4 linked regions of the Arabidopsis thaliana genome follow. The protein of the gene in region 1 interacts with the protein of each later gene in a pairwise test. Each region holds a gene or a part of one and is shown in the gene's direction. Other genes may lie near its edges. The genes, in order: AT1G33760, RMR1, MYB14 and TIP.

The links.
Region 2: the proteins of AT1G33760 (region 1) and RMR1 interact in a two-hybrid assay, tested with the Arabidopsis thaliana proteins (one large-scale study listed by BioGRID).
Region 3: the proteins of AT1G33760 (region 1) and MYB14 interact in a two-hybrid assay, tested with the Arabidopsis thaliana proteins (one large-scale study listed by BioGRID).
Region 4: the proteins of AT1G33760 (region 1) and TIP interact in a two-hybrid assay, tested with the Arabidopsis thaliana proteins (one large-scale study listed by BioGRID).

The regions. Positions count from the first base shown.
Region 1 is NC_003070.9:12,234,718-12,241,415, forward strand, and holds AT1G33760 (Integrase-type DNA-binding superfamily protein), read left to right. Parts: upstream 1-2,829; 5' UTR 2,830-3,226; coding exon 3,227-3,781; 3' UTR 3,782-3,993; downstream 3,994-6,698. Other genes in the region: AT1G33750 (Terpenoid cyclases/Protein prenyltransferases superfamily protein), read left to right, coding at 1-163, 572-790, 869-1,007, 1,089-1,631.
Region 2 is NC_003076.8:26,440,899-26,449,120, forward strand, and holds RMR1 (receptor homology region transmembrane domain ring H2 motif protein 1), read left to right. Parts: upstream 1-4,187; 5' UTR 4,188-4,299; coding exon 4,300-4,429; intron 4,430-4,515; coding exon 4,516-4,752; intron 4,753-4,897; coding exon 4,898-5,287; intron 5,288-5,708; coding exon 5,709-5,806; coding exon of another isoform or gene 5,807-5,824; exon of another isoform or gene 5,825-5,902; coding exon 5,903-5,980; 3' UTR 5,981-6,535; downstream 6,536-8,222. Other genes in the region: AT5G66150 (Glycosyl hydrolase family 38 protein), read right to left, coding at 133-264, 364-500, 591-810, 893-949, 1,026-1,094, 1,278-1,367, 1,444-1,611, 1,713-1,806 and 8 more; STR18 (sulfurtransferase 18), read left to right, coding at 6,930-7,036, 7,120-7,199, 7,278-7,348, 7,441-7,500, 7,590-7,688; AT5G66180 (S-adenosyl-L-methionine-dependent methyltransferases superfamily protein), read left to right, coding at 8,054-8,166. UniProt on the Arabidopsis thaliana protein: Involved in the trafficking of vacuolar proteins. Functions probably as a sorting receptor for protein trafficking to the protein storage vacuole (PSV) by binding the C-terminal vacuolar sorting determinant (VSD) of vacuolar-sorted proteins.
Region 3 is NC_003071.7:13,284,353-13,291,815, reverse strand, and holds MYB14 (myb domain protein 14), read left to right. Parts: upstream 1-3,435; 5' UTR 3,436-3,640; coding exon 3,641-3,773; intron 3,774-3,873; coding exon 3,874-4,003; intron 4,004-4,523; coding exon 4,524-5,010; 3' UTR 5,011-5,135; downstream 5,136-7,463. Other genes in the region: RUS2 (root UVB sensitive protein (Protein of unknown function, DUF647)), read left to right, coding at 1-358; SYCO ARATH (Cysteinyl-tRNA synthetase, class Ia family protein), read left to right, coding at 6,200-6,543, 6,645-6,708.
Region 4 is NC_003076.8:8,414,638-8,422,978, reverse strand, and holds TIP (TCV-interacting protein), read left to right. Parts: upstream 1-3,902; 5' UTR 3,903-4,255; coding exon 4,256-4,433; intron 4,434-4,625; coding exon 4,626-4,906; intron 4,907-4,998; coding exon 4,999-5,256; intron 5,257-5,341; coding exon 5,342-5,800; intron 5,801-5,879; coding exon 5,880-6,059; 3' UTR 6,060-6,604; downstream 6,605-8,341. Other genes in the region: AT5G24600 (TRP-like ion channel protein (Protein of unknown function, DUF599)), read left to right, coding at 605-1,189.

The DNA.
Region 1 (6,698 bases):
CATTGTATAAACCTCGGTTTCTTAAGATGGAAATAATAGCTGCCCGGGAATATATTCATTTCTATCAAAAAGAAGGTCATGATGAGACATTGCTCAAGTTTGCGAAGCTCAACTTCAACTTTTGCCAGCTACATTACGTTAGAGAGCTAAAAACTCTCACCAAGTATGTTGGCCTACTTTTATTCATATTTCCCGGTGAATTTCTTATATGTACATCCTTTAGTACTTTACCAAAACTCATGAGATTCCGACTAAAAACAGAGAGATAACAAGTAGATAGATTTATATATCTTATACATTAATTTAGATCTCATCTTACTTTAGGCTTGACCTGTAGGATTGCCCATCTCGAATTAAATCCCTCTTTTAGATTTTTTTTTTTTTATCAGGCAACATACTCATGTCGGGTCAATTGGAATAACATCTGTTATCATATAATTTTTAGTGAGCTTTCAATTCAAAACCTGTAGGTAATATGTTGATTGGTATGTGTCTTTTATATTATATTTTAATATAATCTTAGATGTAAGATTCTTATAATATTTTCTATTTAATGTTTTTGTGGTTGAAGATGGTGGAAAGACATTGATCTTCCATATAAGCTACCTTACATCAGAGACAGGCTTCTAGAGACCTTTATCGGTGTCATGGCGGTGTATCTCGAGCCACACTATTCACTTGGGAGAATTATAGCCACTAAAGTTTCCCAAGTGATAGTAGTTATGGATGACACCTGTGATGCATATGGAACTTTCTCTGAAGTTAGAAGTCTTATTGATTCTTTGGAAAGGTAGTTTACTAAGTATGAATCATGTGGTCTTATAATGACGTCATTTTTTAACGAGCACATGCATGGGAAAATCCTTAGGTGGGATCCTGGTGCCATTGACAAACTACCGAGCTGTTTAAGAATCGTCATCCAAAGTATAGTTGAAACAATGGAAGATATTGAAAGAGAAATGAAGCCGCGAGGAAGATCCTCGAGTGTGCAAGACACCGTAGAAGAGGTACACCAACAATTTTAGGGTTTAGTTTTAATCAATGTCCATATAAATTAATGTTTGTGTTTAATATTGAGAATTTTGCAGATTAAGATCATGGGGAGAGCGTACGCTGAAATATCAAAATGGGCACGAGCAGGTCACGTTCCAACCTTTGATGACTATATTGAGCTTGGGCTTGACTCGTCAGGGATTAGATGCTTTGCAATGTACAGCTTTATATCGATGGAAGATTGTGAGGAGAATCAAACGAACGCGTGGTTCAAATCCAAACCCAAAATGTTACGAGCTTTAAGTGTTATATTTCGTCTTACAAACGACATAGCCGGCTTCGAGGAGGAGATGAGGAGAGGAGAAGTGGTTAATGGGGTGAACTGTTACGTTAAGCAACATAATGTTACCAAGGAATTGGCGGTTCGAGAAATTAAGAAGATGATTAGAGATAATTACAAGATAATGATGGAAGAGTTCTTGACGATAAAAAGTGTGTCACGTCCGATTCTGGTCCGGTGCTTCAACATTGTACGATTGGTCAATCTGTATTACGAGGAGGGTGATAATTTCACCAATCCCAATGGCAAGCTCAAAGATCTCATCACATCTTTGTTCTTCCATCCTCTTCCGCTTTGAAGACTTGGCTCCTTGCCGAAAAATTCATCTACATTTCTCTTTCCATTATTATTGATGATTGTTAATTTGCTCTATGCACATATTTTTCCATTAAATTTTAATTCCTGGGGTTTCAATTAGTTTTTACTATTTTAATTTATTTTGCATAGAAGTTTTTTTTATAACTTTCACTACCCACAACGACAAGGAAAGTTGACCAAAAGAATGAAATAATATCATAATTCATGTTTATATACGTTATACTATTCAATTCTTAATTCATGTTTATATACGTTAAACTATTCAATTCTTAATTATGTTTCTTTGCAAATAATATTAAATTACACACATGAGTTCTTGAACCAAGGAACGTATAAGTTCAAAAAATAGACTGGAAAGCAAAACTTTGTTATACTTGTTGAGTTCTTATGTAGGATCCAAATCTTGTAGATAAGCAACAATATATAATGGGCGGTGAGATTAAGACTGAAAGTATTTTTTTGACCACCGGATGGACCGTACGGATTTCCACAATTCGATACGGTGTGGTTGTTAGTGCCTTAGTGGCGGTGGTGACCATTATGCAGCCATTTAACTATTTAGGGTTGGAATTTGGCTCATGAGGTTTTACTACACATCAAGAAATTATTTGGAGACAGAGCATCGATCTTCTGCTGGTCGGGTTTTAGAATTTCATAAAATCAAATTTTGGTTAATTTAGATGGGTTTCTTTCCCCAATTCTTCGTTATGAACAATTCATTATTTTGGTCAACTTAATTGTCTATGACTCTATGGGCAGTTACATAATGTTACTATCATATTTGCTGTCAAGACTCTTGAGATATGGCATATATGGACTTTTGTACGAGAACCTAAAGTTCTAACCAACACATGATATAAAGGACTAATTGCTTTTCTTTTCATTTGGTCTTACAACAACAAAACACAATATACTACTTTGACTTAAAATAATTGATCTTTTATATGAAACACTAATTTATCTCAGTATGAACTATGAAATCTATTTCCTAGTTGAAAAGTTTAAATATTTTGAACTTTTTGATCAAGTTAAATATCTATAATCTAACTAAGGCCCAGAATATACCAAATATGAAATATATTTATCAAGGCCATGTCAATTTTCTTGGAAGGCATGTACAAAGTTTTTACTGAAAACATATTTGATGTGTAAAAAAATATTTCTAAAAAAATTTAGAACCCAAATCATATAAATATCAAACTTGTCTTCAATCAAAAAAATAATATTCAATCAGCGTTTTCTTTCAAATACACACAACACACTATTTGTACACGCTTAAAGACAGCTTTGCTAATGTACAATATCCATGTAAGTAATAGAGACCCATGCATGCATGACAGCATATTTCCACTTCACAAGTAACTACGTAGGAAGCTCACTTCACCTGAAACCAAACAAGCCATCCACAAATTCTATTCCCTCATTTATTGTCTTCTTTATTTCTCTATATATACAATTTCACTTAACCACTGACTCTATAACTCAAAACTTCTAAACTAATTCGCACAGTTCTATATACACTCACAAACACACACACACACAATATAGTGCTACTAAAATAACCTTGTATTAATTATGGAAAACACTTACGTTGGCCAACGAGATTACCGCTTCAACGTTAACCAGTTGTCCTACAGAGGCATTCGTCGGAGGAAATGGGGCAAATGGGTATCGGAGATCCGAGAACCCGGTAAGAAAACAAGGATTTGGCTTGGAAGCTACGAGACGGCCGAGATGGCTGCAGCGGCCTACGATGCTGCGGCTCTTCACCTCCGAGGACGTGGGACCAATCTCAACTTTCCGGAACTCGTCGACAGTTTTCCTCGGCCGGAAAGCTCTAGTTCGGAGCACATTCAAGCGGCTGCACAAGATGCAGCACTTATGTTTAAACCAGGTAGGTTGAGTGAACCAGCTCTCGAGTCTGGTCAAGGACTTTCTCGAGTAGGATTGTCTCCGGATCAGATTCAAGCGATTAATGAGTCTCCATTAGACTCGCCGAGGATGGGGTGGATGCAGGATTTGGAAGTTGCTGACTACGAAGAATTATACGGACAATTTTTTGGTCAGCACGATAGGGATGAGTTTTTTGAAATGCAGCAATTTCAGTCCATATGGAATTCTAATAATTGATATACGTTCGCTTAATTGCTTAACCATTTGATTTTTTTTTTAATAATGTCATATCATCAACCAAGGTTTTTCGATTATATTCAGTAAAGTATAATAAATTTTCGACCCTTACTGTTTTTCTTGGGTTCAATTTGTAATCTCTTAACAATGATGATGTCATAAATACCAATATGATTAATTCAAATTTTCAATATATATGTAATGTTTTGGTTCCTTGTCAGTCAGATAGTATCATATGGTTTATACGAGAAATAAATATAAACCAAGGAAAAAACTCAATCCAAGAAAAAAAAATGTTATCTTATAAAAACTTAGAAAAAAGGGTGGTTACCTTGTGCTTCGTCTTCGGTTTTCGTTGTGGTATTCGTTAAATTGGAATAAGACTAACTCCGAAAAATAGGTAAGATTATAGACCAAAAACCTGAAACTCCTATGGTTTATTAAAAACAAAATTATTTGATGAAAGTCCATTATGTAGACACATATAACCCATAATATATACACACGAGCTGACGTGCACGTACCAATTCGTACTATGGCCGCCTCAAAAGTACAGGTTTATTCCATATTATAGTGAGCATGAGTCCGTTGAAAAGCTTTGATTACCTAAAGATATACTATAATCAGTATCAATAACAACTGTTGCAGTCAATATTATATTAGTATGAAATGTTTTAATTGTCCCATACGTTCAGTTTTCTGTTAGGCCTAATTGCGTGAAATTATAAATTAAAGTTTTAATTAGATCATAATGTAAAAGCATGAATTTGACTCTTTAGACACGTTTAAAAAAGCAAATTTCGAGACTCCAGTAAGTGATGATGACTAGAAAATTCTTTTATTAAATATAAATTAGAATAATCGCAATAGCGTTGGTATGGTACACTCCGTGTGGGGACAGAAGAGACGATTCCAATATGCCGTCAGAATCTCCTGTGGACCTACTATACATTGACATTTCAGCTTCAGCAAACACTTTCTTATCCTTAATATTATCTTCAAAAGTTTTGATATGATTTTTTGTTAACCGGCTAAATAAATACTTTAAAGAACTTCCTTATATTAATTGATACGATGATGATCAATCTTTTTTCATTTTTTTGTGGGTACAATGATGATTAATTCTTAGTATCAAAATGTGATGGATATGGTGATATAAGTGTGATTCTATTCTATAATCCACTATATGTAGGTTATTAATGAAACATTGTTTGAAGAATTACTGTACAAGTTCTCGTAGATCATTTGAGATCGTGGTCAACTTCATTTTTTACAATGCCTTACAACTTTCAGACAGGGCCGGCCCTGAAAATTAATGGGCCATAGCAATTTGATAATTAGTCTTTGTTTCGCTGTCAGAGGTTTATGACCATCGAAAACAATGATAGGTTGAAATGTGTAAGTGTAACGTCATGTTTGTTTGTAGTGAATTTAACATGAATTAAAGCTTGAGAGACTCATTTCTGAATATATACGGAGAGGTAGATTTTTGAATATATACAAAATCTGAACTAAAAATTACGGATAAAATACGATTAAGGAAAAGATGAATACGGAGAGGTGGAAGTTGATTTCTTTCTTTAATTCAATAGTTTTTTTTGTCTCTCATTATGGCAGTTCTTATGAGATTTTGAATCCTACGATACCATAATCACGACACTCAAATTTATGAACTGGTATCAGTATCTCTGTCATACCCTGGAGACTTAGTTTATATACAACGAGGATGTTGATAAATAACAATTGATGCAATGCAATGAGCCTATTGAAATTTTGCTGGCAAATTAAAAAATAATTTGATAATTTACCACATGTTGTAATGCAGAAAATAGGTCTCTCCATGCCATGTGTAAGCTTTTAAGTAAAAAATTTGACAATAAAAAAAAATACAATAAATTTGTGAATTGGAGAAGGGCGTTGGTCTCTGATTGGTTGATGAGATATTTTAGATATTTATCTCACCGTTATGAGTTCAAACTTAATTATTTTATACCAAAATTCATCATATCTACATATATATTTTTGCAGCTATTTTGTGAAATAAATCCTATAATTGGAACTTATTTACAATACGTACCACTGGATTTTAATGTTTGTTTTTGATAATTAGAAAAAAAATCTTCAAATTAAATATTTGACATTTAACAATCTTCCCTAAATCTCTCCACATTAACTACACGATTAGTTACTAAAATAAAACTTCCAAAATATTTAATATCATTTAATTACTACAAAATAAATGGTTTTTTTACGGGACGGATTGGTGGGACGGGTTTGACAGGACGTTACTTAATAACAATTGTAAACTATAAAATAAAAATATTTTATAGATAGATACAATTTGCAAACTTTATGTATACTAACTTTAGAAAATAAATTGTTTCCGCGGTGTACCGCGGGTTAAAATCTAGTTGTTTTCTTTATAAATAGAAACTTGAATCATTTGATTATGACACCAAAACCGATTTATTGCTGGTATCCTCTTTTTTTTCCTTTTTAATTAAGTGGGAATGCTTTGTTGGATGAGTTATTTGATATTATCTTGAAGTTCTATCATAACTAATTATGTATGGATAAATGAGTTTTGGAAGATAAAAGTAAGAGTTGTAATAATATATTGATATAACTTACCAAAGAAATAAATAATATATTAATACAATTGTTTTGTTAACATATAACATATAAATTAAATTTTAAAAATTTATGAATTTTCCAATCAAATTATAACATATCATTTTAGTTTATATTATTACTGTATTTATATAATTGTATTATATTTCATTTTAAAAAAATATATCCCAACATTTTAAGGAGAAGATATAATTTGGTGGACCAATCATATGTAATTTAATGGAAGAGATTTTAATTTTTCGAAATGGAAACAAATTTGAGTTTTCTATAAACTTTTTGAGTAATC
Region 2 (8,222 bases), on another chromosome or scaffold:
TCTAAACTACAAAGACAATTATCTGCTTCCTACATAACGATGCTGTGTAGAAAAGCTAAAAAAAATTATGATCTAATATCTTGATGATAGAACCTCAGCATCTCAATGCTCTTAGAGTATTCATAGACTCACTTTGGACGACGAAACAGGATACGCCAAGGAACCATTAGGTCGAAATATATATGCACCAGAAACCTGGGGATCTTTTGCGTCCCCAACATTTGAAGCATACCAGAAATAGTTCTGATCCACCTTTATGTCAGCCTGAAAGATATTTATTAAAAGCAATTGTGACTGAATATTTTGTCTAACCAAATGAATGAACCAAAAAGATTCAGTGTGAAGGAGTAAACGAAACATTACTCCTGTTCTGGAGTTGTACATCCGTTCGAGACGACCAGAGTCTGAAGAAAACACCATCTTTAGATTTCCTGGACCAATTTCAGTCGTATTGTTCATCGGACTAAGCATCACTGAAGAGTGTTTGTGATTGTTGCTTCCTATATCATGAATGATAAAAAAAAAATGAATTATGAGGGAAAGGCAACTGTTTAACTTTCTATGGATAGCATGAGCCTGTGTCTGCATACCTTGTGCGGATGCTTTAGATATGAAGAATGTGTTCCAACCAAGTGGTGGCACCTTTGCTTTAAACACGAGCCAATACTTTGGACGCTGCAGGGAAGATATTCCTAAATAAGCTTTTGTGTAGAAACTTCTGAGGTTGCTCGTGACATTATCCATGGGGATGTATTGAGCATCAAGGGTGTTTCCAGATGAATCTTCCACACTTAGACCTGCATCATTGACCTGTTACATACCCTAACTCTTTAGTAATACATTAAAGAATTTGATCTCAAAGGAGCAAGTAAACAGAGGCATGAAATATAACCGGAATCCTGATGATTTCTGTACGGTTCCATCCAAGGGAGTTATACGCCACCAGAATCTGAAGATCAAACACTGAGATAGTTGGAGAATCTGAGCTATATCATAATGATTGATGAGAGATGTGATGGAATTACCAAGCTCTTCTGGCCTGGAAGGGTTTCTTCTGTCGATGGGCAATAGCTGATATTCATCAACGAGCACTGCTGATTTGATTCCAAGAAAGAATATATAAACCAGGTGATTACTATATAGAGACACACAATAATCGTTTACTCTAAATAGAGGAAAGAAATAACTCCCACACTAGTCATCACCATGAAAGGGATTCTTCAATCACATTTCTGTAAAAAAAATGAAATCCAAAATGAGTTTCTTGGAGATTTAACCTGGCTGAATGCTATTGCAGGCTTTGTGCAGCCACCTTTTGGTGCTTTGTTCATTAGGCATGCCAGCGCAGAATTCACCACAGCTTCTGCCTACGGAATAATTAGATGATTACTGATATAAGAAAAAAGACAAAAAAGAAAAGAGTTTTCATATATAGTATCTTACCTCAGAAGCACCAAGAGCAAGGCGTTTCATGTAATCATTTGTTACATGCTGCTTGGCAGTTCCAGTGACAGCATCATGGTGCTGCGCTATCCCTAAAGCATCCCCAAGACTGTAAGTGTTTGGACCTCCAGAGTTCTTGCCCACCAGAAATTCAAGTTGCCTTGCAGCCTGTTTTGGAAAAAAAACAGACAAATGCAAGGCCATGTAAATTCATTTTGAATTTCACTAAGAAAATGGGAAATCGGACTCCGTAAGATGCAGTTTGATACCATGTAGTATCCGCTAAGAGCCCGAACATATCGTTTAAGAGCAGGACGGCTGGTGAAGTAGCCAGTCCAGTAAGCGTATGCCCGATCCGCATATCTGCAGAGAGTAGGGGGAAATTATTGACTATTGAGAAAATCAAGTTGTTGAACAAAAGGAATATGTAAATTTATTTGGTGACAGTACTAAAGGCACTCACGGGAAAAAGTCATGAGTCTTGAGAGGCCAAGTAACATTGGCAACATTCTTGGCATCAACATAGAGAGATGGTGTGGAGTACAAGGCGTTCACACGGCCATCCTGTTGAATGGAATTATTGGTGATGAGAATCTAGTCTCCAAAGACAGCGAGATTGATATTGAGCAATCACAGCAAGCAAGAGATATGAAAACCTTGTTAACATAATGGATAAGTCTGTCCATCTGTCTGAACCAAGACTCGGCGAACTGGTACTGAAAATCATCGCCCATTGTCCACATCACATGGTTCCCTCGACTCACATTAGCCTATGTCCACATTGACTACTTTCAGAATTAATCCAAGATTACACACACACTTGAAAAAAAAAAAAATACTACTCAAGACTTACATAAACAAGAGAAGCATTGACGAAATCATTAACCGCCTCCTTAATGTTATAGCCATCGAAACGAGGGTTGTCCTGCAAAATGACGAGTGAACCGAATTCCCCTAAACCAAAAACCAAACGGGAGAAAGAAGAAGCGAACCTGGAGGGGTACGTAATCGTCGGTGACTTCATAGTGAAAGCCAGTGGGAGGGCCGTAATGAACAAAGAAGATATTGGTGAATATCTGAGAAGAAGAATCCAGTGTTTTTGATCCTCTCCAGATGACTTCAAGTGATTTCTCGGCCTTTCGCTTTTCTCTGTCTTGGTAATCGATTCTCGCGAAATGCACAGAATCCAACCCTAACTGCACCCCCACCAAATTAAAACACACTCATAAGGAAATAAAGAAATAAATAGATTAGAAGGGACCTCTGCTCCAAGGAGGTAAGCTTGAACAGAGGAATGACCAAAGGGATCGATTTGCCAAGCAGCACGTGGAGTTGTGTTGAACTGTTGCTTTATAAACCGATGCCCCTTTGTGGTTTGGTCTATCATATCTATGTAATGGCACGTTGCTTCATCATTCATAGCCCATCCTCCATTTCTGCACATTGATTGTGTGAATTGTATCAACGCTAGGTAGCCAAAATGATAAAATTAAGGTCGTGACCTACTTACACAAACTCTAGTTGCCCGGATTTCACTAGTCTCCTCACTTGCTCTTGTCTCTCGGGGCTTTGTTCTTCCCACCAACGCGTAAAGAAGGCCTTTTTCATGTACATTGATGTTCACATAAGAGAAGAAAACATATATTATGGTTTTATGAACAAAACCATTATTAATGTTTTACCATTTCCGCAAACACAAACTTTCTATTGGGATCACGAAGTAGAGAATCCACCACCGAGTCTAGGACGTTCCTCACGCAAGCGTTCTGAAACTCACAATTCATTTGGGATATATAGTACGTTAGACTCGTCTCTACATACATACATATATATGATTCATCATTCATCTGTAGATAACATACCTGGATTCTGTTGTTAGATCCTACGTAGTACTGATCAACAGTTTTCAACCAGCCGACATCGTCATGCGAATGCGGAACAAGATGAACATTTAGTTTCCCCGGAACCACTTTAGCTTCGGTTCCATACTTCACGTATCCCCCGCCTTTGACGCTCTCAACCAACGACAACAGAAGAAGAAAAACAATAACACAAAGTGATCCTTTCAATAAAGACATACCCGGTTTCTCCATTTTCCGATGGCAGAGTTTTCAGATGTTTTTCTTTCTTACAGGGTGTGGAGGAAACTTATAACAAGAAAATGGAGAGAGAGCAAAACAAGGGTCATAACAAAAGACCAAATCCTTATCGTTTGTTTTTGCTCAGATCCGTCGGTCTTTGTTAGAGTCTCTCTATTGTTTTACTGTGACTAGATTGTCATTTCACCATATGTAATAATTAATTAGGTTCTACAATAATCTTATTTTCCTACAAATTTAATTAAAATCTTGACCCTAAAATAGTACTTTATTAAATCTTTTTTTCTTCTACTTTGATGTCAACATTAAAATTGAAGTTGATCTGTTTTGAGTTTTGACAATAGTCATTTACCTTTTCTTTAATTTTATTTAACAAATAGTTTTGGGAAAAAATCTCCCTTTCTTTGATAATACACAAATCAATCAATATAGAGATAATTAAACCACGTCTTTACAGAGAATAGAAGCAAATCTTTGAGCTAGTAACATTTTAGTATAAAAATCTCAACAACAAGTCATTTACATCATTGCAACTGTTTTGTTCTCTTCATTTGACTTGGGGGTTGTTTGCTTGCAAAGGAGGCTTTGTTTGTACGTCGTCGTTTTTATTCCGTATATAAAATATAAATTAACGAACTAATCTTTAAAGCCTCTGAGACGAGTAGAAGGTTCTCTCTGGTGAAGAAACCAATGCATTTCGGCGACAGCCTGAAACTGAAAAGCCATCGATCGACCGAGAAAGCGAAAAGAGAGAGAGATGAGACTCGTCGTCTCAAGCTGTCTACTAGTTGCAGCTCCTTTTCTCTCCTCTCTGTTACGAGTCTCACTCGCCACTGTTGTCCTCAATTCCATCTCCGCCTCTTTTGCCGATCTCCCAGCCAAATTTGGTCAATTTCTCCCCCTCTTCCTTTTTCCTTATCCGAAACAATTTCTCGAACAATCTGGTTAAAAAGAAGTTGATTTTGATTCTCAGACGGCTCCGTGACCAAAAACGGAATCTGTGGAGCTCTATACGTCGCAGATCCTCTCGACGGTTGCTCACCGCTTCTCCACGCCGCCGCATCCAACTGGACGCAACACAGAACTACTAAGTTCGCTTTGATAATCAGAGGCGAATGTTCTTTTGAGGATAAGCTGCTCAATGCCCAGAACTCAGGTTTTCAAGCTGTGATTGTCTATGACAACATTGACAACGAAGATCTCATCGTCAGTAAGCCTTTTGCCTCCCACCCAAGTTTAAAATTCCATCTTTTCTTCTCCTGATGAGCTAGGGTTGAGCTGAATTTCATTGGAGTTATTTAATTTAGTCAACGCCCCCATAAGTTTGGAGATTGACCAACATCTGTTTTGCACAGTGAAGGTGAACCCTCAGGACATTACAGTTGATGCAGTCTTCGTTTCAAATGTCGCCGGTGAGATTTTGAGAAAGTACGCGAGAGGCCGAGATGGTGAATGCTGCCTTAATCCGCCAGACAGAGGGAGCGCTTGGACTGTGTTGGCCATCTCCTTCTTCTCTCTCCTTCTTATAGTCACTTTCCTGTTGATTGCCTTCTTTGCACCCAGACACTGGACCCAATGGCGAGGGAGGCACACCAGGACCATCAGGTTAGATGCAAAGCTCGTCCACACACTCCCCTGCTTCACCTTCACTGATTCTGCTCACCACAAGGCCGGGGAAACATGTGCTATATGTCTCGAGGATTACAGATTTGGAGAAAGCCTCAGACTTCTCCCCTGCCAACATGGTACTTACTCCTATTCTTCTGTGGAAATAAACTGGCAACTTGCCACCCTTAATGTGTTCATTGAGGTCTTGGAAATGTATATTTATGAGACACAGATCTTCCCTTCACAGGATTGAAACATGTGCTTACTATTCTAGGAAGACTTTGATAGGTTTCTCTTAGATTCTAACTTTATAAAATAGATTTCTTTCTAGCATAAATTCCTCTGTTTTAGGGTTGAAGGTACAATATATTCCGTTTCTGTCAATTCCAGTTTGATAGGTAAGCACCGAATGCGAACTTTTTGGTATTACTCATTGCTTCGAATGATATGATGGGTCGAATATGTACATCAGAAGAATAAATTAAAGATTTGACCTTTTTTAGTTTATGTAAGTGGGGGTAATTCATAGCAGTTGGTTGATTTGAAGCTCTTATGCAGCTTTTCACTTGAATTGCATCGACTCTTGGTTGACAAAATGGGGTACATCTTGCCCTGTGTGCAAGCATGACATAAGAACCGAGACTATGTCTTCTGAGGTGATCCTGTTAGACTGAAATGTATAAATCCTTTCAGTAGTTATTTTGTTGTTTTTGCGTTGGGTTCAATACACTGTTTGTGTTGTTTTGTTGCAGGTACATAAACGAGAGAGTCCGAGAACAGATACAAGTACGAGTAGATTTGCCTTTGCCCAATCCAGTCAAAGCCGTTAGAGTTATTATCGGCTTAGCAGCTGAACACTCATATCAGTGCTCGGTTACCTGGATCAGGTCCAGGTTTGCATCTTATATTGAATGGTTAATCATGGTGGGATAAGTTTAGGTAAAGGGACCGGATCTGCCATACTGGTCGTGCTTTGCTGGATTCCCAGATCAAAAAGATATGAGTTGCTTTGCCTCTTTTTCTTTGCATGTGTACATTTACATACGCTCTGAGTCATGTGTACATTTGATCATTGTGTGTGTGTGTGTGTTATAGATTGAAAAAATGTGTGTGATAGTACAGATATGCAAACAAATTGATAGAAAACAAATGTTGGTCTAATCAGATTTTCTCTCTCCGATCCAGGCAAATCTCTAATGTTATCTTGTTGATAATTTCTTTGCCTAAAGTTTGTATAATATGAATATTGAATCTGATTCCCTTACATGGGGGAATGGAATCCATTGAACGTGGCTTTGATTTTGTCTTGTCTGTAGTAATAATAAGAAAAGAACACGTCATCCTCATCTCTACCTAACGACTCATCCAATACGATGACTCGTTCATGGGTTTGTTAGTTGCGCAATTCCATCACCAAAACTTTCTATTACATACTCAACTTCTTTTGATTACTAAATTCAGCCAACATTTCCTTCTCATCTCTAATCAGTGAACACGTTTTCTATGCAGGCTTTGGGGCCTATCTTACCATAGCTGTCTAAGAAGACTATTATCTTATATTCTTTATTGTAGATTTCATTTACTTGCGTATGGAATTGGAAACAAATTTCTAATTGTTGAATCATATACCATTATTTTTATATTGGCCATGCATGTGTATAAGTGGAAGATAGAACAATATTAAAACAATATTATTGTGTTTGGTCCTATTTATTACTCTCTGCTCTCTTCCTGAAGCTTCTTCATCTTTTTGTTTGACAAGAAGAGGTAGAGAAGAAGATGTCTCAATCAATCTCCTCCAGCACAAAGGCAGAAGAAGTTGTTAGTGTAGATGTGAGCCAAGCCAAGACTCTCCTCCAGTCTGGGCATCAATATCTTGACGTTAGGTGAGCTTCTGATCTATTCTATCATATCACCATGCATGTACCAGCTGCTGCGGTTGTTAATGAAAAATCCTTGCACATGGCAGGACTCAGGACGAGTTTAGGAGAGGCCATTGTGAGGCAGCTAAGATCGTCAACATTCCCTACATGCTCAACACACCTCAAGGTAAATCAAATATCAATCACCTTTAATTAGAGATATCAACCAGTACATGAGTTAAAGCCTTGTGATCTCTACTCTTAGGTAGAGTGAAGAATCAAGAGTTCTTGGAGCAAGTATCTTCTCTTCTAAACCCAGCTGATGATATCCTTGTGGTAACTCTTTTCTTCCTCATCACACCCACAAGAATTAAAATCTGCCGGTGAAAACGATGATAAAATCTGGAAAATGATATTGATACAAACAGGGTTGTCAGAGTGGAGCCAGATCCTTAAAAGCCACAACTGAACTTGTTGCTGCAGTAAGTGTATAATAGTCCCTAGTTTACATACATAATTTACTCCTACTTGTGTGTTTAATCTCAAAGAATCAATTCATATATACATAAAAAAATAGGGTTACAAGAAAGTGAGAAACGTGGGAGGTGGCTACTTGGCTTGGGTGGATCACAGCTTTCCCATCAACACGGAGGAGGAGGAGCCATCTGCTAATTAATAATCTTAAGATTCTCTTCTTTTCTTAATCAAATAATATAACTGCCTGTGTGATGTAGTAATCATTTTCAATTTAAAATTCCAGTTTCTTGTAATCAAAACTTTCGTGTACCAAATTCAATAAAAGCTGTGTTTCTCTATAAGTGAAAACCAAAAAAAAAAAGATGAACAAGTAAAAGTGTAAAAACTAAGTAACAAGCCTTTGTTTGTTTCATCGGTCAAAACGTTTGGGCTTTTTGAGTATACATACAAAAAGGCTTTGGGCTTCAGCCTAAGCCCTTATCTTCTCTGTTCTCGCCCGGCGATTCTCCGACTTAATTAATTTTCCGACCGAACACTTCTCTCTCTCTCTCTCTCGGGTTTCTCATGGAAGAAACGTCCAAGCTACAGTTACCGGAGAGTTTCCTTAGCTTTCTAGAGGCGAATGGCCTTGATCCTTCAATCTATACTCACGGAGATTCAATTCCACGTTATGTAAGGTAACTTGAGACCCCTCCTTTGCTTTTCTCAAAATTTCTGAATTTGGCATTGAAAC
Region 3 (7,463 bases), on another chromosome or scaffold:
CCAAGACGCAGGAAATGTAAAAGTGGGAAGGGCTCTCCATAAAGCTGTGAAGCCTTCTGAGGTACAAAGACTAAAACAAGTGTTTGTAGAAGAGAAGTTTCTATTGAGTCATGGAAAGTCATGGACCGATATGGTCTTAGAGCACGATGCAACCGGTGAAGATGCATTGCGAGGGTGGTTAGTTGCAGCATATGTCAAGTCAATGACAAAGATATATAATGACCCTGATGACATTATATTGCAAGACGCGTATGACAAAATGAACGATGTCTTCAATCCATTTTTATCTCAAGTGCAAGCTAAAGGATGGTATACTGATAGATTTCTCGATGGCACGGGGACAAGATTTGCTTGGTAGCTCCCGAGTTTCGAGTAATTTTGCTATTGTAATTTTTTATTGTTTCAAGTATAAACACGAATTTGTAGGCGTAAGAAGTCTTTATCCAGATCATGAATCCACAATCTAGTACTTTGAAGACTTAGATGGATTAGATTAGAGTGAGATTGTTAGGTGAAACAAAAGTTTGAAGGTACGGTTCTTGTCCTCGTTTGTACTTTTGTTTTGCCATTGTAAGTTTACATATTTTATCATATATATCAATCAAAATGGAATCTGATTAATGCTTTTTATGGATATATATATATATATATATTTATTTAAAGTTAAAATAGTTCTCTTGGTCAAATCTTGTGTACGGGCTCTATTTTTCCTTAGACCTGGACCCTTCCTTAGTCTTCATTTTGGGATATTTTGATCAGTGAAAATGTCCCAAATATATCACTTTTGTTGCATGTTGTTACATATAATATTTGATAAATGCAATTATCAGAACTACCTTATACGAGGGTTAGCCAATGCTACTGCCTACTGGACACATAACTAGTAAGATTCTGATAGAGCATGAGAGGAGGTAAAAGATTTTGTTGGTTAAGTTGTGTTTCAGGTTTGGTTAGACTTAGACCAAACTTAATTTCAAATTATCATTATGCATGTTGTTAATAAATAAAAAAAACTACAGAAAATAAAAATGTCATTAATGTATTAAAATTAACATTTCAACCTTTCATGATTATTTAGCAATTTGTTAAGTGATGAAAATGTTTACTTTGTTATTCTTATACAGATTTCAAAATTTAGTTGAGACATTTTATTTTAGGGATAGCTAGTTGGATCTGATTGAAGAAGATAAGTAACACCTTTTTAAATATTAACTAGTGAAATGTTTAAGGCTTCTTTACTTTTGACATGCATGTATAATCAATAATGCAAATCAGCCGACCCTTGGAAAATTACAAAAAGAAGCGACAAAGTTAGTAGTTGAATGGACCCACAAATATCTAGATTTCGTTAGGTCACGATCCATTTGAATTTATCAATTATCAAACAAAACACTTGCATTAAAAACATGGGAACTCCACAATTATATTGGAGTAGTGTTGTAAGAGAAGATAACCCTCGTTGTATTAGAAAATGAAACCCCAAAAAGAAAACGGAAAGAGAAAAAAAAAATTGTGAAAAAGGGCAAGATCTTGGTAATGATGGAATTAGATATCGACGATCTTCGTTTTGTTTTAGTCTATTCTTTTTAAAACGTTGTAATCTTGGTCTAAATACGTTTAATTTGAAACAGTATACAAAAGTTGCTTTTGACAGAGACAAACGAATAGTTTAACTCAAAAGTAAATGTTGTAATGGTGAGTGAAGGTGTGCAATTGAAAGAAGCCAAGAACCATATCACTAAATATCAATTGACGACAATTTCATACATTTTACGATCTCATGGTTGTAATTATCTTACGTAATGACATATACCGTAAGAAAGACATTTCTGTTTTTTTTTTACGGTATGACACTATGAATAATTGACGTGTTTCAAAATAATCTGGTTGTCTATTTTATTTTAATTACTAACTCACCGGTAATTTAATAAATTTAAATTTGTATTTACAAAGTAAAATTATAAATACTCTTTCGAAATTAAAGATTCATATGACCAAAACAATTCAGATGTAGTATCAAGTCATATTTAACATTAAAAGAAAGCGGGAAAACAATGACCAAAAAGTGGAGTCATCAAATCATATTCTAGCTAATAAATCATTTCATAAAAATTTTTTGTTAACAATATGACCTCTGATTCTCTGAATCATATTAGAAAAGAGGAACCCCTTTACGTACGTACCGTACCTACTTCGATGTCTATGATTTTCCCTCTTGACACCACAATTGTTTTGGCTCTACATACCTATTTTTTAATTAATCGTAACGGTATTATATACATTAAGAAAGAAAATAGTGTAAGTGTTTAATATGCGCATAGAAAAATATGAAACTTTTAATGTTTCTTATTGACTTATAGGTCACCCAACAAGCTTGATTGAGATTAAAAGTTTGATTATTTTTGGCCCATGATTTGATCGGAATTGAGCACTATGAGCCTCTTTCTTTGACATTTTTATGCATATATAATTTGAACCTTTCTTTCCTCTCATAATGTTTTATATTATTTTATTTCCTAATTTCTTATTATTTATATTGGAGCATTTTTTGCTTAATATCTTTTTTATATAACTCCGTAATCCGAGGCTCCGAGCGGGAGTCCGGGTAAACTAGAATGGAGCAAGCTTGTGAAATACAAACACACCATATTAAACATTTAGACTACATATCAAAACCAGTCGTCCAAAAAAAAAAAAAAAAAAAAAAGACTACATATCAAAACCAACTTATCCAATAAAGTTGTTCCAAAAAGAATATGAAACATATATGATAGATATATTTAATAGTAATTAAGATTTGTCATAACCAATCAAGTAAACGGATCATGGCTTGTATACCAGTGGTTTTCAATAATAGCTTGTATAACAGTGGTTTTCAATAATAGATTTAGATATCGGGTCATTAACTTTTGAAGTGGGTACACAGGTCGACCATATGTCGATCTTTCATATGAATCATGTGACTCATATGCTTAGTGAAACTAGCGTCCCTAGAACATGATAATTCAGGGCAATAATTGCATAAGTAGAGTGATGTTTGCGTTTTGCTTCTCATCACACACTCGTTTCCCTGGTTGCGTGTTGCATCTCAAAAATATTGCAAATATCCCGAAATAGAAAGTTTTGGACCCTATCTGGTGATATATAAAGAGAATCCTTTTGGCCTGAGTCGAACTGATTAACCGTTAAATATTTTACTACTGAATGGCACCTGAATTATAGGCAATCTTTACACAACAGGAGTTACAGGACATCGAGGCTCCAGTGGTATTCGTCGACCTCATCAAAACAGATTAAAATACATTAGAAAAAAGTTTTTTTTTTAATGAATCTAAAAAAAAAGTTCAAAGGAAAAAGGTTAAAAACTTTGGACTGTGTAGATCAAAATTAGTATGAGAAAATTTCAACTTGGAGTTGTCCCACGGTTGCATTGTGATTATATAATAATAATATGTGTGTATATATAATAACACACTAAACGTCGACATCGCATACTTCCTTCAAGCATTTGGCTTCTTTAGCTCTCATAAACTTCATACCCATTCAACACTTGTCCTTCTAATCATTTTACTCAATTGAAGACCATTTTGTTTTTCTTTTTCTGAGTGTTTTTTTTCTTGAGGGGGCAACGGAAAAAAGAATGGGAAGAGCACCATGTTGTGAGAAAATGGGGGTGAAGAGAGGACCATGGACTCCTGAAGAAGATCAAATCTTGATCAATTATATTCATCTTTATGGTCATTCTAATTGGCGAGCTCTCCCAAAACACGCAGGTGAGTTTCCTTTTTACATTTTACTTTGTATATTGATTATCTATTAATGATTCTTGAAAATGAAGCAATTTTGGTTGGTGTTTTTGTGCAATTTGTTTAGGTTTACTTAGATGTGGGAAAAGTTGCAGACTTCGTTGGATCAATTATCTTAGACCAGACATTAAACGTGGCAATTTCACTCCTCAAGAAGAACAAACTATTATCAATCTGCATGAAAGCTTAGGCAACAGGTTTGTCTTCTTTTTTCCCCTAAAGAGTGATTGAGAAATCAAACAGTTTTAGGGTCGACGTTTCTTTTTTTTTTTGTAATGTCAACTTCCTTTTTCCTTTTTCCACTTTGCATTACACTGACTCTCTGAGAAGTGAGTATTACCCAGTCTAAGTTAATAAATGATTATTTATGTAACAATTTGCAAAATATTTTAACACCATGGGGGTGGTAAGGAGATTCCTGTCCGTGATTTCCTCTGTCTCAAACCAAACCAAAGACTTCATTAATTTGTTTTCAAATATACTTTAAAAAAAAAACAGAAACAAGATCTTCTATATTACTATTAAAAAAGGATATGCACTTTGATCAATGCAAAACATATGGCATGTATAAGCTTTTCTTTTGTTGTTTTCTTCTGTTTTTGAGCAACTAAAAAGCAATATAAAGTAAGAAATTGATGAAATCCATACAATACTATTATACGTGGGGCGCTTTTTTAAAAAGTGTTTTGTTTTTTGTTTGTTTCTTAATTAATTTAGATGGTCTGCGATTGCTGCAAAATTGCCGGGACGAACCGACAATGAAATAAAAAATGTTTGGCACACTCATTTGAAGAAAAGACTCAGCAAAAATCTAAACAATGGCGGAGACACCAAAGACGTTAACGGAATTAACGAGACCACAAATGAAGACAAAGGATCTGTGATAGTCGACACAGCCTCTTTACAACAATTTTCTAATAGTATTACAACATTTGATATTTCAAATGATAACAAGGACGATATTATGTCGTACGAGGATATTTCTGCCTTGATAGATGATAGTTTTTGGTCGGACGTCATATCGGTAGATAATTCGAATAAGAATGAGAAGAAGATAGAGGATTGGGAAGGATTGATCGATAGAAATAGTAAAAAATGTAGCTATAGTAATTCTAAGTTGTATAATGATGACATGGAGTTTTGGTTTGATGTTTTCACTAGTAATCGTAGAATTGAGGAATTTTCCGACATACCCGAGTTTTAATTTTGATTTTGATTTTGTGTTGTTTTTGTCGTTAAGACTTTGAAAGTCTTTTTGTAATCCAAATGAATAAATTCCTTTTCTTTTTCTTCCTCTCTGTCTATGTTTGTAGACTTTTGAGATTGCATGTAAATATGAATATCTTACATGCATTTTGATAATAAACATCATTTAAGATAACATCAAGACATGTAGCAATGGTTAGTTTGAACATGTAACATCACTTTACCATGTTACCACCCAGATTCAAACATGTATATAATATGAAAGAAATAAAACTTTTAAGAGGGCCATTTCGGTTAGTTTGGTTTCTAAAGAAATAAATGTTAACTGAAGTAAAAAGAAATTAGAAATGGGTCGACTTGAATTGTGGTTTTCAATCTAAAATGAACTCCTAAGTGTGTAAAGACTAATAACTTCATCCTGGTTTATAATCAGGACAAAAGGAACCATTGTTAAACGTTTTGAACATATAACAATGGTTCCTTTTGTCCTAATTATAAACCCAAGAACTTATTAGAGAACATACTATCGCCGAGCCAACCTCACTCCTTAACTTTGTTTTAGCTGGTTGATCTACACTAGGGTTTTGCCCTAAACTTTTTGTGATAATTTTTTTTGTTCTAGTTGATCAATGTTTTGCAAAACTTCAACATATAAGGTCCAAGGTCCTGTAGTAGACAACTAGATATTATTTACAAAATATTAAGGACTTTTAAACTATATTTTGTAGACCTTTAATTAAAACCTATGGATGGTTCCTACGAAAACATCAATAACACCATTCCGGTCGTACTTAAAAATTTAAGAAAATCAAAATGACAAAAACGTGAGTAGATTAAACGATTATAGTTAACGATTACGCATACGTAATATCACATCGAAATATGGTTCTTTAAATTTTAATTTTAATTCCAATATCATCATCACTAAAACATTCTTTTTTCCTTCAATATTCCATTAGTGGCTAATAGACAATCCCATATATTATTTGAAAAACCTAGACATTTTAAAAAATTTCGTCAACAACCAAGATGGTGCTCCTCTAACAAGTCTTGATTAAACCGAACCGGAAAATAAAACCGGTTTACACAAACCGTAATTAGTTCAGAGGTTTTAGCTAATCACTCGCCGCTTTTTCCTATCCGAGATTTCATCATCTTCTTCGGAAGGAGCTTATCGTTCCACACCAATGGCTTCTTCTGTCCTTAATCTCTTCAAATCATGTAGACCCTTCACTCCAATACGCTTCTCTTCTCTTCCCAAGTCTCAATTCAGAATCCAATTTCCCCTCAGACCCGGAAAAGAAACTCAACTACGTCGCTGTTTCACGACTCTGTCATCATTAACGGACGGTGGAGCACCAATTTCCGGTGGGAAGGAGCTGTGGCTGCACAACACGATGAGCCGGAAGAAGGAGCTGTTTAAGCCTAAGGTCGAAGGTAAAGTTGGAATGTACGTTTGCGGTGTCACTGCTTACGATCTCAGTCACATTGGACACGCACGAGTCTACGTCACTTTCGATGTACTCTTGAGGTATCGACTTGGAGAAATAAGCTTTAAAACTTCTTGGGTTTATGGAAAGTTATGATTTTTTTATGATTTTGTTCTTTTGAATTTGATTGGGAATTAGGCAGGTACCTTAAGCATCTAGGATATGAAGTGTCTTACGTTCGAAATTTCACGGATGTGGATGACAAGGTGAGCTAACTCTGCTTCTTGGTGGTTAGCTCAGAGATTCAGGGGTCTTATACAACTTAAGCTCTGTTTAGAAGTTTAGAGACAGCTTCTCGAGTTCGTTCAGGAAAGTTTTTTAGTGAGAACCTCTTAAGATTGAGTTTTGTGGTACCGTTAGGTTAATAGGATGAGTAGCCAGTGTCTGTTATGGCATTCCTGGACCGCGTTTAAGTTATTTATTTTCTTGGCGGCTACATATTGGGCAGTAGAGAAGTTGAAGCTGATTGATCTTATTTCTAGTGTCTCCAATACTGTTATTTCATCTCATTTACTTGTGAGAGGCATGTAAAAGGATGGATCATAGTGCCATCAAAGTTGCAAGATTTGAACGTTTAGACTGCTAAAGTTATTATATTGGTGGTTGAGGCTAGTGAAAATGTTGTACTATGAAATGCCAAAATGGAGAATAGTCAGTATTTTCTCTTTGTTAGGGAGAAGTTCACTTAGTTTTATCCTTTATGTATGTGTCTGCTCTTTTACATCTGCCTACGTTTGTGTCACCAACTTTGATTAACCTTAACACAGACTAATTAGCTAGAAGAATAGAACTAATTAGTAATGTCCTTTACTAGATTTCCTCCGTATTGTGCTACAAGATTTCACAAATGTTTTCTTTATTTCAGCCTCTCTCTGACTATATTTTCTAGGGGAACTTTCACTTTTTCTTATTGAAGTTGTATATGGCTAGATTCTTTAGCTACATATGCAACTGACTCATG
Region 4 (8,341 bases), on another chromosome or scaffold:
TAACTAAGGAGAATCTTGTTTATATAAATTGCTTATAGTGTTGATTTACACATAACGATAAAGATGAATTAATTGAATAAGAAGTGATAAATGATAAGTGTATGCATGTGTAGAGATTTTCCTGGGAAAGAAAATACTGACAACAGTTTCAGGTCCTTTTGTATTGGATTGGAGGATGTGAGGTTGAGATTCTATCTCACTATGTGCATATATAAAGTTTAGTATATGGTTTATATATAAATATGAGTATAATTCTAAGTATAATCATCATGCATGCACCTCATAAATTGATACTAATATTGAAAGTTGAAACAGTATCAAGTTGTTTTTCTTTCTTCTTTTGCTCAGATTTTTTCTTTTCTATGTGAACATAATTATGTTAAAGTTCTTTACGTTAATGCAAGATTTTGAACATTTCCTTACTAAATGAATCCGCAAGTGTGAAAGCTAACAACACTCAAAAGATGCTTTGCATTTTTGGGAAACTTTTTTTTGAAAAAAATGTTTATAATTACATTATTTCCTCCACCAATTTTTTTCACTTTTTGTTGGATTTGAGATTTCTTGTACTAACTTATGTTCCGTTAACAACTATTGTAAACAGGACTCATCCAAAAACGGCGTTTTAGCGGTTCAAACGCTAAGGAACAACATAATGGCATCAACTCTATTAGCATCAACCGCAATAATGTTATGTTCACTAATCGCGGTACTAATGACTAGCGCTACAGGAGAGCGATCAGTCTGGTTTGTGTTTGGAGACAAAAGCGACCGAGCCTTCTCGCTCAAGTTCTTCGCAATCCTCGTGTGTTTCCTAGTCGCGTTTCTCCTCAATGTCCAATCAATTCGTTATTACAGCCATGCAAGCATCCTTATCAATGTCCCCTTTAAACAGCTCATGGCTGTTTCTTCAGGTGGTCGTGGTAATGGTAGTCTTATGATAAACCAAGATTATGTGGCTGCAACGGTTAACCGTGGGAGTTACTTCTGGTCGTTAGGACTACGAGCGTTCTACTTCTCCTCGCCTTTATTCCTATGGATCTTTGGTCCCATCCCAATGTTCATAACTTGTTGCGTTCTTGTTTGTTCGTTGTACTTCCTTGATTTAACGTTTGACTCGATGAAATGTAGCGTTGGAGCCGCAGACGCGGAGGAGCCCGAGATTAGAAGCTTAGCTCAGAATGTTTAGTAGTTTTTTTTTAATTTGATAATGGTTAGGGGTTCAGATATATTGAAGAGAGTTTTGTTCAATGGAACATACAAATCTTGTAAGTTGTATTGATTCAGGTTCAATGGTAGTTGAACCGTGTCAAAGTGTCACTCTGTAACCAAGTGAAGAAATTTGTTGTCATTTAACCGTAAAATTGTCAATTTTACTGATGTCAAAGATATATATATTTTTTTGGTAATTTTGCATATGCATATGGTATATATGGATCATATATATTCCATGTTTATTTTCAACCCTTTACTTTAAAAGTTACGAAGAATTTAGAACAAATTACAAATATGGACTTGGATCAAAAATGTTCATAAATTCTACTTCTATAGCTTTTTCTTTCCCCGTTTATAATATATGGTATTCGGAGGTAACATTTTTCTTATTTTTTCTGTCAACCACATTAATTGTTTGAGATCTCTTTAACCCTTTTGTAGTTAGGACAAATGTTAAGAATCCATAATAGTAAAACTAAATATGTATTTATTTTTGGAGCTTTTATTTTTAATCTTTTTTTAAAACACTATATATATAGTGGGTGGTTTTCTATATTTTTTTAACTAACGTTGATATAGGATTTAACCCACGATATACCGTGGGACAATTTGTGTTTCGCACAATCTTGATTCGATATGTTTAATATTGGTAGTGTAACAAAATAATAAAATGAAAAGAGCAATTGGGTAGGGTCGGATCATCATGAGATATTTAGTAATTTAACAACTTGTAGTTTTGGTGACTTCTTAAATTTTGATCAGATAGAACATAGCCACTAAGTAGGATCATGAGGAAATACATAATTTTCTAAATAAAATAAAAATAAAAAGAGAGATTTCCACATATTCAAGTTTTAATATTTTTTCTTTGTTTTTCAAATAAATTAAAACTAAACTAAAATCCACATCTAATTACCATTCAAATTTTTCAAACAACTAACATTTACACCAAAAAAAAAAATTACAAACTAAAATTCGAAAGCCAAAAACTATTTTAAAAGCTACATACATTTATGATTTTAAACAACGGAAAATAAAATATTTCCAGAAACTGAACTTTGAGATAGAAAGTAAACGTCTTTAGTAACTAAGTGATTGGTTGGCATGTCACCGTAAATTATTCGCTGTAAAATTTTGACCGTCAGCGTGTAAAATGCAACCGTGTATTTTATTGTTATACGTGTAGATATTAGGGATATAAAGTCTTAGAAGTAAATTTATTAGTCGTATCTTAAAATATGATTAGTAAATATTTTATAAAATATTATAGTTAACCAAACTATATAATAAACAACAACACAAATTTTGTGATGCACATATAGGTTAAATGGAATCTATATAAACATGTAAAATAGTTTATATGTTAGTCGGATAATAACTACATATTAGTTGAAAAGAATATATACATATAAATTTTTTGTTCAAATGTTGTTCAAAATTTATACATAAGTATACATTAACAAACAAAACTATACATGGTATTTATACTATTAGTATATATCCATCTAGTGCCTAGTGTACATTATATAAGCAACACATAAAAAATGATCATGAGGAAATAAAATTAAAATAAAAGAGAGATTAAATTAAAAATATAACTTATAGAACTTATAACAACATATGGTTTTAGGTTGTAGAAATATAAGATTTACGGTCACAAGATTTTTTTTTTTTCTAAAACTAATTCACAACAATTTGGTCTTCACAAAAACAATTATGGTTGTAAAAGATTACATTCCAACTAATCAAACACTATAAGAGACTATCCTCAAACTAGAAACGCAGAGGTCTAAACCCAAAAACAAAACAAAAAGCAATGACTTAGATAAACTTTGTTGGATATGGGCTTCGCCCCATTTAACATTCGGAGGCCCAAACAAAGAGTCATTGAAAACCTCAGTTAAGAATGATGAAGACCAGCCCCCCTGAGAAAGCCGCAGCCCATTGCGAGATGAGGCCCATTTTCTGGAAAGGATCAGCCGCCATAGAAGTTTCATATCGCTCAGAAAATGGTACTGTGTACTTTCATTGAAGTACTATAAATATTGACAGAGGAATGCCAGAAAAGGACACCTGAAGTCGGACGAGAATAGTACAAGAACATTCTCATTCGGATTCAAAGACATAAGCTCGACAATTGACTTGTGTAGTTTTATTCTTGTTGTATCTCTTAAAACGAGGCTTGGCTGTAAACATATCTTGTAAACGGCCGAACGTTAAGTTTAGATAAATAAGATCTTCCTTTTCGCTCGCTACTTTCTTCTCTGTTTTTGAGGTTTAGTTTTGAGTACCAACGGACTTCGATATCAAACGTTTTAAAGTTTAAACCTATTTGATTTACATTATTTGGTTTAAATAAATTGATTCAGACTTCACACGACCAAGAAAAAAAAATGGTTGAATTGGGTTCTCATCTATTGGGCTTTAACAACAAACACTATTAGTAAGATGGGCTGGCCAGTTGTGTAAACTGTTTCATATTGGTAAATCAATATGATACCAATTAAGTTTATTTAATTCTTCTTTAACTTCCGTACAACTATCACGAAGCTTCCTTTATAGCATCAACGTGTCAATATATGATTCGCTAGGTGACATCTCTCGTTCAGACATCCTCACCTTTTGACTCATATAACCCCTATTTCCGTAACTATTTTACTGCAATACTTCAGGGGTAAAATAGGTATTTACATTCTGTTTTGCCTTTTACGCGTAACGAACGTGGTTTTGTGTTTTATGACTTTCTGGGAAACAGTGGTACGCCTATCCACGCGCCACTTTTTCATCTCTTTGTCTTTGATATCTCTCTTGTCTGACCAAATCGTGTCACATCTCCTTCTTCTCCACTTTACCAAATCGTGTCAAATTTTAGGGTTTTTTCTTTTCGTACTTCATCAAATTCTGGAATCTGGTTTTTTCTTAGTTTTCTTCTATATACCTTTGAATCGCATCTTTGATCCAAATTCATTTTAGATATCACCTTGAAGTCGAATTTGTGATTTTTTCTTTTCCTCTCGAATTCTCAAAGTCTCACGCAACTATGAAAGAAGACATGGAAGTACTATCGCTCGCTTCACTACCGGTTGGGTTCAGATTTAGTCCAACGGACGAAGAGTTAGTCCGGTACTATCTCCGGCTCAAGATCAACGGTCACGATAACGACGTTAGAGTAATTCGTGAGATCGATATCTGCAAATGGGAGCCTTGGGATTTGCCTGGTAATTCCTTTCTTCATCAAATCAATTCGTTGATTCATCTTTAGCTCTTTAGTCTCGGTTTAGCAATTCCCAGGCTTCAATTCCGGTTTATGCATGTTTGAATTTGGAACAATATGATCAATAACTTCTTAGCTTAGGTAGTGGACTTAGTGAATTTGAGTAAAGATTTATACTTTAGTATTTGTGGTGTAGATTTTTCTGTGGTGAAGACAACAGACTCAGAGTGGCTCTTCTTTTGTCCTTTGGACCGGAAATATCCGAGTGGAAGTCGAATGAATAGAGCTACTGTGGCTGGATACTGGAAGGCGACGGGAAAAGACCGTAAGATCAAATCAGGAAAGACTAAGATTATAGGTGTTAAGAGGACTCTAGTGTTTTATACAGGTCGTGCTCCTAAAGGGACACGAACTTGTTGGATTATGCATGAGTATCGTGCTACTGAGAAGGATCTTGATGGAACAAAGTCTGGCCAGGTAAAAACCAACTTGGCAAATGATGGCATTAACTTGTGTGTGTAGGTCTTTTGTGTTTCTGATTGTGTTTGTTTGATTGTTTTTGGTTGCAGAATCCGTTTGTTGTTTGTAAGTTGTTTAAGAAGCAAGATATTGTGAACGGAGCTGCTGAACCAGAAGAGTCAAAGTCATGTGAAGTTGAACCAGCGGTATCGTCTCCAACTGTTGTGGACGAGGTTGAAATGTCTGAGGTATCTCCTGTTTTCCCTAAAACAGAAGAGACTAATCCTTGTGACGTCGCAGAGTCTTCTCTTGTAATCCCCAGCGAATGTCGTAGTGGATACTCTGTCCCTGAGGTTACAACCACCGGGGTAAGGATGAACAAAATACATTCTTTTCATTACAGGAGGCGGTACAACCGCTTTGTAAACTTACAAACTTCATTTTACTCAACAGCTTGACGATATCGATTGGCTCTCGTTTATGGAGTTTGATTCCCCGAAGCTGTTCTCTCCGTTGCACTCTCAGGTGCAATCTGAGCTCGGTTCCTCTTTCAATGGCTTACAATCTGAGTCTAGTGAATTGTTCAAAAACCACAATGAGGATTACATTCAGACTCAGTACGGTACAAATGATGCGGATGAATATATGTCCAAGTTCTTGGATTCTTTTCTTGACATTCCCTATGAGCCAGAACAGATCCCATATGAGCCACAGAATCTTAGCTCATGCAACAAGATCAATGATGAATCTAAGAGAGGAATTAAGATTAGAGCTCGACGAGCACAAGCCCCGGGTTGTGCTGAGCAGTTTGTAATGCAGGGCGATGCCTCAAGAAGGCTGCGTCTTCAGGTTAACCTTAACAGCCACAAGTCAGAAACTGACAGTACACAACTTCAATTTATCAAGAAAGAGGTGAGAAGAAGTTTGTTTTCATACCTTCTCATGTATTACAATTTATGATCCTTATATTTATGCGATAAAATGTATATAGGTTAAGGACACAACAACGGAAACTATGACGAAAGGATGTGGAAATTTCACAAGATCAAAGAGCAGGACTAGTTTCATATTCAAGAAAATTGCAGCCATGGGATGTTCATACAGAGGGCTTTTCAGAGTCGGTGTGGTAGCGGTTGTGTGTGTGATGTCGGTCTGCAGTCTAGTCGCATAAATCCGCTGAATGTGATGTTTGTTCCGATCAATTCATATAGTAAGAATAAAGAAAGTGGTTTTTACGGGTGGAGAGAGCGCGGATTTGTGTGTATAACAGGGGTTTTGGCCTGGTTCTGCATCTGTTGTTATTGTTGTTGTTTTTGTCGGCTTAAGCTTAACCATGGTCGGTTTAGGAGTGTAGTAGACTTGTAGTTAACATGTACGACGACTCATAATATTCAGATGGTAATGTTTGGAAATTTTTTTATTCCTGACCACATGTGTCTTGAGATTGCGTTTTTGACATTTTTAGTAGCCTTGTACAATCAGAAACAAACTACGAGTTCGAATGGTAGCACCGTAATGAAAACGGTGTCAAACATGTTAGTACGAACCGACCGGGTAGAGATATTTATTAGAGGTGTGTTTATTTCGTATATCATTAAACATGTTTAGTATGATAGGACGGTTTGATTGAGGGTATGGACTGTTAAACATGTCATTTGGGTATTTTATGGCATTAAGTATGCCCAGTAATATATTACAAAATTTTTGGACAAAAGAATGCATATTTGAATAGTTCAAATAATATGATCACCTCTCTTTTCTCTCCTTCATATCTTTTAGAGAGAGGAACTGTTGAATTCTGCCGACCGGATTATTCTGGTAAACTGCCGTCCCAAGTTTTGGGCTTTTGCCCGACATCTTTTTGGCTTTGTTAGCAAAGATGGCCGGTCCTCTTCTGGCAAATCCGGCTTCTACAAGAATAATTGTATCCTTACTACTTAATTGTATGGACCAAGAATAAAATTTCAAAATTTAGTTGTTTTCTTGATATCTGTAAAAAAAATTAAACAACACTTACAATAAGACATAGGAAGCAGTTTGTATCAATATTACTGTCGTGTTGCTTTGGAATAAAACCCAAAATACGTAAGTACCAAAACAATTATTAGACTTTTTAAATGTGTTAGCTGATATAAGTAGTATATATCAATGTTGTATCATACTTTGAATAAAACTCAAAATTATGTGTGAGTAAGAAAAGAAAATACAATTCTTTCCAATATATAAAAACATCGTAAATGCATAAAATATGTGCATTCGAATCTTAACGCCATTGCAGTTGGACTCATGTCTCCACATGCGATGCACCGAACACCAACTAACTTTATCTCAACTATTTTTAGAATTCACGTATCATGTTCTTTAATCAATTTAATATTTCGATTATAAATTTATAATGACCAAAGAAGGTGATGCACACTTTTAAAGCGTAAATATACAATAGTGGATATGAATGACTCGATGCTTGATCATTAACATGGCACATTACATAAAACAAAAGTCTATAAATTTCTTTTAAGTTTTATTAAAAACGGATGACAAGAAAAGAGAGTCTATAAACTTATTTTAGCAGAGAAACTAATTCGGTTGTGGCATAGAGTTATTTTTTTATATGGTTTAGTCAATATGGCTTTTTGTATTTTTGACTTTTTGGATATACTTTTGAATCAGATTAAAGTCGCATATTGCCGGTTGGTATAAAAGGAACTTCATGTTAATTCCAGAACGATCTGAAAAATCTTCCATAAATCAATTTTATTTAACAAATGCAAAAACCATTAGTACGTAAAATTAACCTATAAAAAACCAGAGGTTATTTATTGTCTTGATTTTTGATCTGCGATAACATCTGCTGAGTTTTGAGTTATACAAACCACTCAAGTCTCAACATTGAGATTTTTTCAGGTCCATTTGGATAAAACAATAGTTGAAACCCATAAAGATAGTGCGCGTCAAAAGTAAATTATACATTGAGACTCAAACTGTGAAAACGATCGGATACAAATTACATGTCAATTATTATTACTTAAAGTTCATTTTATAGCAGGTATACCAAAAAGTTAAGTCCAAATTCGCAGTTTTAGAGGAATTTTTTACTACAAGTAAAGTGATAATATCATCAGTTTTACCAAACGATGGAGACCAATTTTAGTTTGTAGCATAATATAGAAAGTATAAACTAATTTAGAGATGGACACAAGGTAAAATACAAGTGATTCATTTTTCAGCTGTTGTGTATGAAAAATTGTTTTATATGTTACTTTTATTCGTTCGAAACGGATATTCAACATTTTACATTAAAAAAAATTTCGTTGCAGGTTATTATGAAAAAAATACATTTCTATTGTACCGTTTTAATATTTTTATAACAAACACTAAAAATATCATTTACCTCTGTAACAAAAAAAAAATCATTTGCCTGAAAAATTCTTCAATTTCATTACCTAATCCACT